Linked DNA regions of Lepisosteus oculatus. The protein of the gene in region 1 interacts with the protein of each later gene in a pairwise test. Links are inferred from orthologs where the notes say so. Each region holds a gene or a part of one and is shown on either strand. Other genes may lie near its edges.

What was found. The genes of interacting proteins can lie anywhere in the genome.
Region 2: the proteins of cep76 (region 1) and c22h22orf39 interact in binary tests that used the Homo sapiens proteins (3 or more experiments, as listed by UniProt). The two-hybrid records come from large-scale screens. The link is inferred for Lepisosteus oculatus from reciprocal best matches to the Homo sapiens genes CEP76 and C22orf39.

What each region holds. Positions count from the first base shown.
Region 1 is NC_090705.1:9,336,106-9,343,479, reverse strand, and holds the start of cep76 (centrosomal protein of 76 kDa), read left to right. Parts: upstream 1-4,320; 5' UTR 4,321-4,509; coding exon 4,510-4,572; intron 4,573-5,935; coding exon 5,936-6,091; intron 6,092-6,765; coding exon 6,766-6,847; intron 6,848-7,255; coding exon 7,256-7,374. Other genes in the region: psmg2 (proteasome assembly chaperone 2), read right to left, coding at 10-130, 967-1,140, 1,863-1,981, 2,650-2,708, 3,575-3,746, 3,871-3,927. UniProt on the Homo sapiens protein: Centrosomal protein involved in regulation of centriole duplication. Required to limit centriole duplication to once per cell cycle by preventing centriole reduplication.
Region 2 is NC_090717.1:1,244,695-1,252,017, reverse strand, and holds c22h22orf39 (synaptic plasticity regulator PANTS), read right to left. Parts: upstream 2,805-7,323; 5' UTR 2,711-2,804; coding exon 2,696-2,710; intron 1,672-2,695; coding exon 1,504-1,671; intron 874-1,503; coding exon 742-873; 3' UTR 538-741; downstream 1-537. Other genes in the region: ufd1l (ubiquitin recognition factor in ER-associated degradation protein 1), read right to left, coding at 4,580-4,654, 5,965-6,046, 7,073-7,161. UniProt on the Homo sapiens protein: Negatively regulates long-term potentiation and modulates adult synaptic plasticity. Stabilizes the interaction of RTN4 isoform A/Nogo-A with its receptors, inhibiting clustering of postsynaptic AMPA receptors at synaptic sites.

The DNA of each region.
Region 1 (7,374 bases):
AATACTTACGGGCTTCTCCACCAGATGGAGCCACTCATTGAGGTAGTTCACTAGTGCAAAAGCATGTGGCATATTGTCACCTTCGGAGCAGAATATCAACAGCACTGCTAATGGGATCCCTTCTGAACAGCTGAAATACAGAAATACACAAATCTCTCCCAATATATGTTTGCACTGCACAGAAAATATCAGTTTTATTCAGACAAGTCCAGTACAGAAAGTGTGGTGAACTGTATGTGTCGGCACACATGGTTAATCTAGGGTGACAGTTATAAGAATGTTTTCTTTTTATTGTATTCAGTATTCATAAGTAATAATTACAATTTATAAATGTTTGCTTCCTAGTATTATCTACTACACCAAAAGGAATAGTTTGGACGGGGGTTACTCCCAACTTTTTGCCAATATTTTACAAGCAGGACAAATCTACATCTTTGTAGAACACAGTGTACGATTGATCAGAAATGCCTCCCAACAAGACCCGTAGGCTTTTAGTTCAGCGGGTCTGGAATCAATCCTGAGAAGAGCCTGACAGCCTTACACTGACAGACCCGATATAAGTATTCAAATTCTTCAAAGACACTGACAAAGTCAACCCTGTGAGCTTTTTTAGAATTCACTAGAAAAAAAAAAGGAGTAGAAATGGACAGTGAATTAATGTGAACTTGATTTATTTGTTGGCTTTCTCTATATAACCTTAGGGCTCTGGCCTGTACGTTCAGATGCATGCTGATTTCTCTCTAGATCGTTTGGTTTGTTACATGTACATCCAGCATAAAGCTCCCATGCTATTTCAATAAATTAATTTGAATTTAGCAATCAGATTGGTGGAATACAGACGACTTTTAACTCAGCGGGTTAATTTAAAGAATAAGGCCCTGGACACTAGTGTAAAAGGGAGAATAGTACATTTAGCAGTGCAGGGTTCACTGAAAGTCCTGAACGCCGCAGTCTCGCTGGACGTACCAGTCAGCGTAGAGGGTTTTAGTGACACCTCCTCCAGGGATGTACAGGCGTTGCTCCGTGTCACTGATCCCCGGAAAAGCCGACACCTTCTCCATCTCTTTCCAGTCCAGCTTCTGCAGTCCATCTCCGACAACGCTCTGCAGGGCAGGAGTGAGCAAATAGCGCAGAGGAGTGCTGGAAGCAGAGGACGGAATATTTCTTTTTTGTCAATATAGTCAACCTCATATAAGCATAGAGATCCAAAAGACCAGGACAGCGATTCAACGAGCCCAGTTATAGAGGCTGAGTGTGGAGCGAGCACGAGCAGTGAGGAAGGAGACTTCAAGAGCGTAGATATCGATGATCGAGGAGCAGTAATAATGCACACAGCCAAGGTGGGCCTCTCTCAGCCAGTCCCATGTGGTCAATTTAGCATTTTCCAATTGACGACCGTGTTTGTTTTATTATCATCATTTTTTTTTATTTGATGTTTTGTGCGCAGTTCAATTTCCTATGTGTGCTGATCTCGTAACCTGTGCGTGCGCTTACCCGCCCACAGCTCAGAGGGAACATTGCTCATACCACACATTACTACACAACAATTCAACTAATGTAATGCTACTTTGCGTTAAAGGTATAGGTTAAAGGTACTTTGCGCAGGATAATTGTCCATCCAGAACATCGGGAAGAAAAGGTTTAAACGAACTAAAGCTTCTGCCTGTCTGCTTTATTCTTTATTCTTATTCCCCTCAACATTGTGCTGCTGAAAGACCACACAGAATCAGCAGTAAATCTGCTAGCCACTTGTTTTTATCTACTGGGTCAAAGAGCCATCAATGTGAAATACTACATTCATCACAGAGAAGAGAAAGACAAAATGACATAAAACCGAAGATTAAAGATGAGAGGTCTCTCACCTGAGGAGCTGACGGTCATCCCGATGATGAGCATGACAGCTAGACAGGAGGACAACTTTGGAGAATTTGTTTGTCTTGATCCAGGAGACAACACGTTTCCGAAACTGCCTGTATTTCGTCTAATAAGGCAAGAAAGAAACGATTAGACCTATTCCTGTAAGTTGAATGGTCACAGAAAAGCTGTACTAACAAAATGACAGACTAGCTTTTTTACAAGTAATAGAGGTTTATTCCATGCTGAAAAAAAAGAAGAAAGAGAACACAACGTTTCGGCCGTGGAGCCTTCTTCAGGTCTGGGCTTGGTCACACACCAAGGTCACACACCTGAAGAAGGCTCCACGGCCGAAACGTTGTGTTCTCTTTCTTCTTTTTTTCCAGCATGGAATAAACCTATTACTTGTTCCTTTGCAGCCTACGCATCTGACGCAGCTACCCACCTGAACTAGCTTTTTTACTACCCATAATTTAAACTCAAAGGAATGGACCATTGTAACTTATTATAATACACTTATTATGAAAGCCAACAAAGCTGCAGAAGTATACAATAAAAGTGATATAATGAATGCGACTTCACTAGCACTGAATGTGCGATTATAGGTTTATGTACTTTTCTTCTTGAACATTCACTACACTTCGGTGGGGCTCTACACAAATATAGTAGTCCTACTTGTGGTGGAGTTAATTACTCCGTCTACCTTCTTAGACAGGTTAATTACCCTTAATGACTTAATTAGTCTAATTAATTCATCTAATCAGCCTACTTAGCCTCTGGTCCATAGCTTCTTACCTGTATGATGGGAGCCCGGATCTGAAGGACAGCCAGCTTTAAGTCAGGCAAAGAGTACACTGTGCACAGACAAAAACAGAAAATGCCACTGACATTTCTTTGGATGTAACTTTTTATCATTAAATCTATATACAGTACTAAATACATCTGTAACACAGAATGTGCAGACTTATATGGAAAGAGGCACAGCACTTGAATTGTCAGAATGTTACATACAATTTTGGTCACTACATCATAAAAAATCATTTGTTGTTCTTTCATCAGTCCAGCAAAGAACCACCAGACATTCAGGGACTGAATGGAATATCCTATACGAACAGGCTACACGCACTGAACCTTTTTCATCTTGAACACAGAAGACTACAAGGGGACCTGAACCAAGTTTTAAACATTCTCAAAGGCACTGACAAAGTCAACCCAGTGGTCTTCTTTAGAATAAACAAGAGGACACAAGTAGAAACTGACAGTGAATAAACGTGAGCGTGAATTATTTGCTGGTTTTCTCTAGAAAAGCTTATGTTCTGGCCTGTATCAGAAAAAGAATATCCACTGTAAGTGTGAGTTCAGATGAATACTGAACGTTCTTTTGGTGGACTACATGTACGTCCAGCATGAAATTCACATATTATTTCAATAAACGTATTGATTTAAATCTACAACACTTAAAGATGCAATAATAATTTATAGATGCAAATTATTATGCATTTTAAGGATGATCTTAAATCACTACATAGCCTGAACCTGCTATAGTACACAGCAGATCGGTTATTTACAAGAGTTTGAGAACTACAACAAAACTACCACACATTCAAGACAAGCTGTGTCAGTTTGGTACGGGCTATCTAAAAAATCTAAACTTCGTTGCATCCAGACGCGTTGATGCATATACGTATCTTTGATGAGCAGAATCCGTCCACATACTAACCTTCGGCATTTGTACTGAGTTCAGATGAATCTTCTGGCGATGTGGCATAGGGATTATTTCCTACCATGGGTACTAGACAGTCACTGTGGAAATAGCCCACTCGAGGCATGTGAAGGGTAGAAATGACCAGGTCTGTTGCAAACTGTCCCACGTTTCCCACCGATACCGCCGGCTACAATCAACCACAGGATAACAGCAAAGTAAAGGAACGGAAAAATATATAAGCCCTTTTTTAACATGTAAATTAACAACTAGAAAAAAACAACATTAAGCATAATGTAAAACGTCTAACTTACCATTATAAGGGTAAACTCTTTGAAAGAGGGCGCTGAGCACCCAACCGGAATAAACATGTTTGCGAGTAAGAAAAATAGACAATTCGGTAAAATGATTTTTAACTGTACTAATGTGTACAGAATGACAACTTTCCGTTTCACTACAACTCCATGCTACTTCCAGGGTCCTTCCTTGACATGACGCTCGCTTGGAGTCTGTTACGTTGAGGGTGGACTTATATGGTGCCTGATGAAAACTAAAATGACTTTTTGTTAGACACAAAATATATAACGAAAATGTCATTATCTTTAAAAAGTATGGACAAATATATAAATTGGGTGTAATATGTGTGCTATTTCCCTTTGCTGCATTTTATTTTGTGCAAGATTAAGTCGGGCACTACAATGGATGGCTTCCCGCTGGCTTTTCCGCCACGGTTTGAAAGTTCTGTCTGCTCGTTGGTTGTTGTGGGGAGGAGACGAGCTTGACGGTTCAGACTGCTGCTTTCGAAAACCTGGAAAGCGAAATCAGCCCCCCTTTTTTTTTAGTTTGACCAGTTTCAATTTAAGTAAGCAGGGGGAGTGTGAAAGTAGTCACGTAATTAAATAAGTAACGATTTGTTCGTTGGGACTTCTATACAGTAGACGTCCTCTGTGAGCATGTCTCTTCCACCAGAAAAGGCTTCTGAGCTGAAACAGATCATTCACAACCACTTGACAAAGGTGAGTACAGTATTAGTCTCACCAGAGACGCCTGCATGCTTTGGAGAAATAATATGATCTTAACCCATCGTCCAGACTTTCCAAAGAAACGAGTCCGGAGCTTAAAGTTTGCGGGAATAATGTTGTAGCACTCGAAGATACTTATGGGCCACTTCAGTGAAAGTACAGGTAGCTAATGTGACAGGTAACAGTCCGTCTTTCTAAGCTGTTCCTGCTGTCATGTTTTCGGCTTCAGGTTGAGCATTCAGTCGGTAAGGTTTCCTCCTGGTTTTAGTTGCCCGATTGCTGTGCTCTGTCCACGGTTCTGAATTGTTGTCTGATCTCTTAAATTCCGGACTCTGTAGTTGCCAACATTAAATAGTTCCTTTGGCCTACAGTTCTTAAAAAAAAATATTTGAAATCAACTCAAGCATTTTTCGAAATAATCAGATAACCATCATCGCACTCTGCAGACCCACTGGGGAAGGCCTTGGTACAGAACTGTGCTTCTTGTAGGTTCAGTGCGACTAAGCTTTAACGCATGCTACTGTATTAGCACTCAGAAAATGGGCGTATGTACCACGAGAAATCATATTTTAATGTGAAAATTTTAATCAAGATCGTGTTCAAGCTGTATGCGGCGTTTATTTGAAGATACAGTGTAAACAATTTTTGTTTTCATCATTCACATATCTTCTACGGTAGTTTGATTCCAGCGAAGATGAAAGAAGGCCTTTGGTCCAATCCACCTCTTATGTTAGTAGCTGATTGCCGTTTCTTGCCTGAAGCCAGGGTACAGGCTACAACACAATGTCTGGGTAGTTTGATTCATAATACTCTCACCCTTTCTGGGATAAAGAAGTAATAATAATAATAATAATAATAATAATAATAATTGCTTACACTTATATAGCACTTTTCTGGACACTCCACTCAAAGCGCTTTTACAGGTAATGGAGACTCCCCTCCACCACCTGGATGATGCGACGGCAGCCATAGTGCACCAGAACGCTCACCACACATCAGCTATTAGTGGGGAGGAGAGCAGAGAGTAATGAAGCCAATTCATAGAGGGGGATTATTAGGAGGCCATGATTGGTAAGGGCCAATGGGAAATTTGGCCAGGACGCCGGGATTACACCCCTACTCTTTTCGAGAAACGCCCAGGGATTTTTAATGACCACAGAGAGTCCGGACCTCGGTTTTACGTCTCATCCGAAGGACGGCACCTGTTTACAGTATAGTGTCCCCATCACTATACTGGGGCATTAGGACCCACATGGACTGCAGTGTCTGCTGGCCCCAATAACACCTCTACCAGTAGCAACCTAAGTTTTTCCCAGGAGGTGTATCTAATGGATGTATCTAATGGATGCATGTGCAGATCGATATCCATGGGAAGATCCGGGATGTCTTGGCTGAGACCGTGCGGGAGGAGCTGGGCTCTGGACATCACAATCTCTCGGAAGAGGACTTAATACGGGGTTTGCAACGAAGGGGGATCGTCGATGATGTCATGAAGGACCTAAGCTTTGTGCAGGTGAGTGTTTGATTCAGATCAGGATTACAATCCAGTTTATCTCGCGGTATCTTACCGACGCAGAAAACTATCTCTGTTTTCGGTTGTTTCCATTTTAACTCTGTATCTATGTTTTCAATAATAATAATAATAATAATAATAATAATAATAATAATAATAAACTTTATTTTATATAGCGCCTTTAAAGGTGGCTTCTCAAAGCGCTTTACAGGATGACAATAACAATAAATAAGAAGACTACAACAATAAATAGGAAGATTTCACAAGATAAGACACAATTACAATTACAACAATAACAATAGAGGAGACCGTGGAAGGTGGTACTAAGAAGAGCAGAGGGGTGAAGAATGGAACCAGTTAAGTAAAGGCTTTTCTGAAGAAGAAGGTTTTGAGTCTGGATTTGAAGGAGTTTAGAGAAGCTGACTCTCGGATATCCTTGGGCAAAGAGTTCCAGAGCTTGGGGGCATAGCAGGAGAAGGCCCTGTCGCCCATACAATGTAGACGGGCTTGGGGGACAGTAAGGAGGGCTTACTTAATAATGAAGGAAGGACACTTATTTGTTGGGAAGTGTGCTGTTAAGTACATGATACTGTATAAGGGTGACATGTTTTCCCCCCGTGAAGAAATCTCCTGATGTCTGTTTCCCTTCCCTCTGTGTGTGTGGCCTGGATTAGGAATTGCCAAGCAGAGAGGCCATCTCTACTCCTAAACCCTCAACACATTTTGTCGACAAGGAGCCAGCACAACTCAAGAAAAGTAAGAAAGACTTTTAACGATATGCAGTGCAATAATGTTTGGTCCATTCAGTTAAATTGGAAGAACTGAACTGGAAATTACCATTTACCATTTTAATGGCATATTACATAAAGGCAAAAAAAAAAATCTTACAATAGGCAGTCTGATTTACTTCAGGGTATGCGTTAGTGTTAGCTTTTTGACTCCGAAAATACTGGTTTAACGGTTCGCTTGTGCTACAAAACTATCGTGCAGTACTTCCTTGCTTTACTAAAAAGTAGAAATGGGATTTTTTTACTGAGTGTGAACATGAAGTAATCCTTTTGTCACTGTTATTTATCGATTACTTTAAAATGAGCCTAATTCTAACTCCATAATCGCATTAATGGCCCATCGGCGTCTCCTAATTGAGGTTAATTTCTTTTCCAGCCAACATTGACCCAACAAGAAGGTACCTTTACCTGCAGGTTCTTGGGGGAAAGGCTTTTCTGGAGCATCTCCAGGAGCCTGAGCCATTACCTGGGCAGGTGTGCTCCACATTCACCCTG
Region 2 (7,323 bases), on another chromosome or scaffold:
GACCTTGAAAGCAATATATAGACCTGCCTAAAAACGACTTCACTTGAGAACCCAGGATTGGAAACAAGATGCCCTCCAAGAGCTCACCATGTTCTGTCTAGATATTTAATAAATTTATATAAAATTCAACACCGTTTTCTTGTTTCCTGTGAAACCATGTCTGGATGTGAACAAAAGCCAACAAAGGTGTGAAAGTTGTTTTTCTGAAATTTTTAGGAGCATGTTACACAGTAATGGACATCTACATTGAATACATTTACATCAGTTAAACTGATGAGAAAGCATTATTCATTTTTATACATGCAAAACTTGCATTAAACAGAGTACCGTACCTTGCGAGATCTTGAAATCTCTGCTCCGATTCAATTTGAAACAATCACAGCTACGATGCTTTTTACATTAAATGGAAGAGAAAATGTCAGTGATAACCCAGTTGTATCCTGGCTGGGTGCACAGCAGAGACGAAGACAGACATTCTGGTTCTGCGCCGGTAGTCTGCCTCGAGGCAAACTGGAAATAAGCAGTCAAACTAGAATGGGACGGGTACTGTATTTAATCAGAAAGATCTCAGCTCAGGTCCTGAAGAAACGCCGTCAGTCGTGTGCATCTCTTCACGAGAACTTGACGAATGCTGGACCGGCCTTAAGCCGACACACAGTTCCGGGTGGTGGCAGAGGTCTGGCTGCAGTCCTGCTGTTGTCACAGCATCACGGAGGGCAGCTGGGCTCCTCCCCCCGTCGCTCAGGAGCCCTTAAGCTTCCCCTGCTGGAGGGGCGCGTGCCAGTCCGCTGGGGGGGTCTGCCGGAGCTCCCACACGGGCACGAACCCCCTCTGCTGCTCCACTCTGGCTCGCTCGCTGTCCCGCAAGGCCTCCTGTGGTCACAGAGGAAAGTCACTGGTGCACAGAAACAGGGTTCACGCCGTCTAATCGCTGTGCCTCGTGCCCAAACTCCCCAAACCCAATTCTCCCTGCGCCACAACTGGCAGGCGGAGGCCACACGGTCCAAGCAAAGGCTTGATCGGCGAAGAGTTCCTGGTTCAAACCCAGGCGCTGCCACCAGCGCGCTGTGTCACCCTGCTCAAATCATTGAACCTCCTCTGAGCGCAGACCTGAGAGTGAGAAGTGCATTCGGCACCTCGAACCGCAGCGTCTGCCGTTTACACGAAGAGTTGCGGGGGTCTGGAACGCGCTACCCAAGCACGTTGTCGAGGCCGCTATCCAGCCGTTTCTGAAAGGCGCCAGGGTAAGAACCTTGGACTGATTAGCTGCTAACCACCAACACAGCGAGACCTTTGGTAGAAGGAACGTATTAGACTTACTACTGACTTATTACACATGCCCTTTCTTATAAGGAGTAGAACTAAGGTTATGTTGAGAAGTAAATCCCAACAGGCTACGATATAAGAACCTGCCGAGGAAAAATGGATCAACAGACAGCTTGAACAAACCACTTGCTGATCAACGGAAAGGCCAAGGGTGACCAGGGTCCGCACGGCGCTCACCTTGGCCTCCGAGCCGCGGTGCCTCTCCCACTCGCAGCAGCTGTAGTGGTCCGTCTTCCACTGCTGGCACGAAGGGGCCCGTCCGAAGGTGTAGTAGTGGTGCAGGCGGTTCATCAGGCTCCTGCAGTGCCTGTATTCGCTCAAGTAGTCGGCGCAGGACCGGGGAGGCTGCAGGCGAAGCACATGGAGGTGAAACTGTTCCCCACAGTGCTCGCAGGTCACTCCTCCCGCCAGCAAGGGCAGAGAGCACAGCGAGAACCCTTACAGTAAGAGCAACCTATAGACATCTACCTATACACATCTTATAATAATAATAATAATTGCTTACACTTATATAGCGCTTTTCTGGACACTCCCCTCAAAGTGCTCTACAGGTAATGGGGATCCCCTCCACCAGCACCAGTGTGCAGCTCCACCTGGGTGATGCGCCAGTCCGCTCCCCACACACCAGCTCTCAGTGGGGAGGAGGGCAGACTGATGAAGCCAGTTCAGAGATGGGGGTTATTAGGAGGCCATGATTGGTAAGGGCCAAGGGGAAATTTGGCCGGGACACCAGGGTTACACCCCTACTCTTTTCAAGAAACGCCCTGGGATTTTTAATGACCACAGAGAGTCAGGACCTCGGTTTCACGTCTCATCCGAAGGACGGCGCCTGTTTACAGTATAATGTACTCATCACTATACGGGGGCATTAGGACCCACATGGACTGCAGGGTGAGCACCCCCTGCTGGCCCCACTAACACCGCTTCCAGCAGCAACCTTAGTTTTTCCCAGGAGTCTCCCCTCCAGGTACTGACCAGGCTCACCCTGCTGAGCTTCAGTGGGCTGCCAGCTGTGAGCTGCAGAGTGATATGGCTGCTGGCTTTACCATCTTAACCATGCTCCGCTCATTTCTTTATCTTTAAAACTCGTATTTAGAAATATCTTTACTGCTATTAGGAAAATGCTATTAGGGTTAAGTATGAAGTGCCAGAAATGATTCAGTATTCAAGAGTAAGCTCATTTCAAAATGTATAACGGTAACTACCAGGGTAAAAACAGAAGTGTTCGGTGAACACCGGCGTATCTGTTATTTAATGGATTTTACTCTGCGGAGAAGCTACCGGTCATTCAGCTAATCGATCCGTACTTTTTTTTTGTTGAGACCACAAACCATATTCGAAATATTTAACGCCAAATTTATAAGCTTACCCTCCAAAGCGCCATCGTGAGCAGCAGGACTTCCGGCAAGGACAGGAAGTTTTGAGGCTGTTCTCTGGTCAGCCAATCACAGACAGGGCATACGCTCTGCCCCCTCCCTCTTCCCTGCGCTCCTGTCACCAGGCTTGCTTCCTAAGTAATCACTTGCCCTTCAGCTCCTGATGTGGTAATGCGAGTCAGTTAGACGCCTTTCTCATAAAGATAAAGGGGGTTCATCCATTCATAGTTCTACTAATAAAATTACTTTTCCATTCCATTAAACTGTGTGCATTTAGGAAGAAACCAGACCACCCTGCAAAAAGTCTCAAAACAACACAGGAGAACATGCAAACTCCACACAGAGGTGTCTGAGGTCAGAGTCGAACCCAGGACCCTGGAATCATGCAACAGCAACACCCACCACCATGCCAGTGTGCCAATCCCAGCAAGCTTTATAGATCAGCAGGAGCTTCAGCCCTGTGGTAAGAGGGAGGAACTAGTCCAGTTAAGCCTTAATAATAATTGCTTACACTTGTATAGCGCTTTTCTGGACACTTCACTCAAAGCGCTTTACAGGTAATTGGGATCCCCTCCACCACCACCAGTGTGCAGCCCCACCTGATGTAGTGCACCAGAACGCTCACCACACATCAGCTATCAGTGGGGAGGAGAACAGAGTGATGAAGCCAGTTCAGACATGGGGATTATTAGGAGGCCATGATTGGTAAAGGTCAATGGGAAATTTGGCCAGGATGCCGGGGTTACACCCCTACTCTTTTCTAGAAACGCCCTGGGATTTTTAATGACCACAGAGAGTCAGGACCTCAGTTTTACATCTCATCAGAAGGATGGCGTCTTTTTACAGTATAGTGTCCTCATCATTATACTGGGGCATTAGGACCCACACAGACCGCAGGGTGAGCGCCCCCTGCTGGCCCCACTAACACCTCCTCCAGCAGCAGCCTTAGCTTTCCCAGGAGTCTCCCCTCCAGGTACTGGGCAGACTCACACTGCTGGGCTTCAGTGGGGCTGCCAGCTGGGAGCTGCAGGGTGATATGGCTGCTGGCTAATTAATTGCCTTAGTAAGGCAGTTTAATCCTCACCCTGATGTCAATGCTGATGTTTCAACAACACGAGTGGGCCCTTCGCATCCTACAACCACAAACCATTGTGTGAAGAAGTCTCTGCTGTTTCCCGTGCGTGATCGATTTTCTATTGAACTTTTAGGATTTCAGTACCTGTATTAGTGCCCATGTTGTCAGGTCATGTGTTCAATGCTATAAGGATTTCTTTAAACTGTCTGGAAGATTTTCTTATCAGCCCAGGAAATAACCTTGCAGGGCCGAACGTTTCTGAGCCAATACCTCAGAAAACTTCATTCTTTAATGACATCCCTGAAATTAAACACAGGGATCTGCAAATCACACTGCTGCACCATATAGGAGAAAACAAAATATTGCCTCTTCAAATTGTACAGACAATACAGATGAAGAATAAAAGCACTCATAAGTGGGTTTATATCGGCTTTATTAAAAGTATTAAGTGGTTTTGATATATATAGTACATAAATTAGCAAAACAGTGAATCCCTGTATTGTATTAACCAAAAGTTATAATGCAGTTATGTGAAATAATTCCGATATCTGTAGGACAATTGTTTTCTTCCCCAATCTTTTTCCATAAGTTTGTTCCTGTGTGAAAATTCTTTGTTGAATGAAAACCAGGAAAAAAAAAACTCTTCTGGGGCTCCGAATTCCGAAGTGAGGGACACGCAGAGAGGAAGTCTGGCTCTACCCGTCGGCAAATTGATTTCACTCGTCACTGGTGGGTCCGGGTCGGAGCTCAGGGCCTGCGTGTCCACCCTCTGTCCGTTCCCTGCTTGACAGGGGGGGGGGTCCTAGGGTTTCCTCCCTTTCTTGCGCAGCGACTGGCCCTCACCGGAGAAGGCGATGAACCTGTTCACGGCATCCTCCTGCAGAACAGTGGAGACGGACAGCAGACAGCGCCTCGTTAGGCTCTCTTCAGGAAGCGGCCTCAACAGGCATAGGGCCCCAGTGCATGGGACAGCTGGACGCCACGCCTGGCAACCAGGAGGGAGTCTCCACAGCTGCTTGAGCCCACTGAAGCTCAGCAGTGTGAGCCTGGCCAGTACCTGGCTGGAAGCCTCCTGGGAAAAACTAAGGTTGCTGCTGGAAGAGGTGTTAGTGGGGCCAGCAGGGGGCGCTCACCCTGCGGGCTGTGTGGGTCCTAATGCCCCAGTATAGTGACGGGGACACTATACTGTAAACAGGCGCCGTCCTTCGGATGAGACGTAAAACCGAGGTCCTGACTCTCTGTGGTCATTAAAAATCCCAGGGCGTTTCTCGAAAAGAGTAGGGGTGTCACTCCGGCATCCTGGCCACATTTTCCATTGGCCCTTACCAATCATGGCCTCCTAATAATCCCCCTCTATGAATTGGCTACAACCCTCTGTTCTCCTCCCCACTGAGAGCTGGTGTGTGGGGAGTGTTCTGGTGCACTATGGCTGCCGTCACATCACCCAGGTGGGGCTGCACACTGGTGGTGGTGGAGGGGATCCCCATTACCTGTAAAGCGCTTTGAGTGGAGTGTCCAGAAAAGCGCTATATAAGTGTAAGCAATTATTATAATTACTAATTATTAATTAAAACACTACGACCAGCACATGAATTCGGGATTTAAAGTGCAATATAAAACCGAGAAGGACCCCACTGCTATTTTGACATGGGAGGGGAACCCCACTTTGTTCCACTGCTATTTTGACATGGGAGGGGATCCCCACTTTGTCCCCCACTGAAGTGCAGCCCAAGGTGAGTGACAGGCTGCACCTTTCTGCACAGTCTATCAGGTGGAGGAGTGACAAGCTGCTTCACTAAATGAATTAAGCTGGGACTTTAGGAAGGCCAGATTGTTCAAGAATTTAAACAGGACACCAGGATTACACCCCTACAGGGCCAAGAGGTCTTTAATGAGCAAGTAATCAGCTTAATGTCTCTCCCAAAAGGACAGCACCTCCTACGGTAGCAATCTGGTCACTACTGGTGTGGAAATTGTTTTAGAGGAAAGAACGCCGCCTACTGACAGCTGGACAGCCATCTTGCACAGCCATCTTGCACAATGGATTAACGCAGGGGAGTTAAGTTTTGATTTCATCTGCTTCCGAGTTAAAACATGCAGGGACAAATTCAGAACTTGAATCTCTTTTTAAGTTGAAAGGACAAAGACAAAAAAGGGCAACTATTTCTTTCTTTCCTTAACACTTACATCGTCTATTTTCTTCGGCTGCGGCCGTGAATTCCTGATGAAGGTTATCTTCCCCATCCTGAAGTCGTAGTTCGGAATGCCCCTGAGGGAGAGGGGAAAACCACCGGTCACTTCAAGCCGAATCCTTGCGGATCAGTGCGGGATCTCGGCTCACACACCTCCCAGGATGCGTGATGTCTAAGAGCTCGGTGCGCAGCTGAAAACACCTGAAAATACAGCGATTCCCTACACTTCCCCCTTTGCCTCCCTCGTCCTGCTTACCGACAGGCCTCGCCGTCTTCATATATAAAACCATGTTTCAGTAATAGGTGTGCAAGATGGAATCACCAGTGCACCGGTCATCAACACTGCCCTCCCACCATGGGGCAGGAGGCACTGCCTCTCCAAAAGCTTTACCCTTCTGCCCTGCGCCAGAAAAAAAATCCCTAGTTCTTGGAAGAACTGTCCAGAAGCCACAATACATTTAGGTAGGCTCTAATCTCTATTCTCAAACATTTTTTTAGAAAATTGGCTTTTTGTTTTTTGAAGGCTCTGAACATCCGTGCATGTCATCAAGTTAATGGGGCGGAGTGGTGGCTCTGTGGCTAAGTATCTGCGCCCGCAGCCAGCAGAGGATTCCCACTCCGTTTGGCCCCTGAGCAAGGCCCTTAACCCCAACTGCTCCAGGGGCGCCGTATAAATGGCTGACCCTGCGATCTGACCCCAAGCTATTTTTACTTTCTGAATACAATGGTTAAAGCCCCAACATGTTTAACAACAAGCAGGTCGAATGAATCTTCATGTGAAGGGTCTGACTGTGAAACTGAGGGCTCGGCTGGAACACGAACAAACAGGTGTGCTCGTCACCAGCACCAGAGCTGGGGACCACTGCCACAGACTCCAGGCCCAGACGGTACCTCCCAGCAGAAGATCCCCGCTCTGGGATTGGCTGAATTAGAAGCTGGCAAACGAATCGGCATGCTCTGATTGGGCGGGAAGTCATTCCCTAACTTCCCTTCTCTAATGTTCTCCTTTCTGGCCCCTTTGCTACCGGAAGATGACCAGGGGACCCGAGCTCTTTTTGCGACACGGAAACGCACAGACAGGCCAGCGTGAGCGGGTGGGAGACCTTTTGATGTCGTTGGGGTCCAGAGGCGCAGGGCTGGGCTCGATGCCCTTCTTCTTGCCGTCCAGTCGGTTCCCTGATCCCGTGAATGCCTGACAGGGACAAGGGAGGATAAGAACAGGATCAGACGAGATGCAGCCCTTTTCGCTCCCACAGTGCTGAGCAGCTAGTTGACCCCCAAGATCTCATCCTGCCTTTTCTGTTCCTTGATCGGGCAACACACCCCCCCCACTCTTTGTGTAAACCAGATTAAA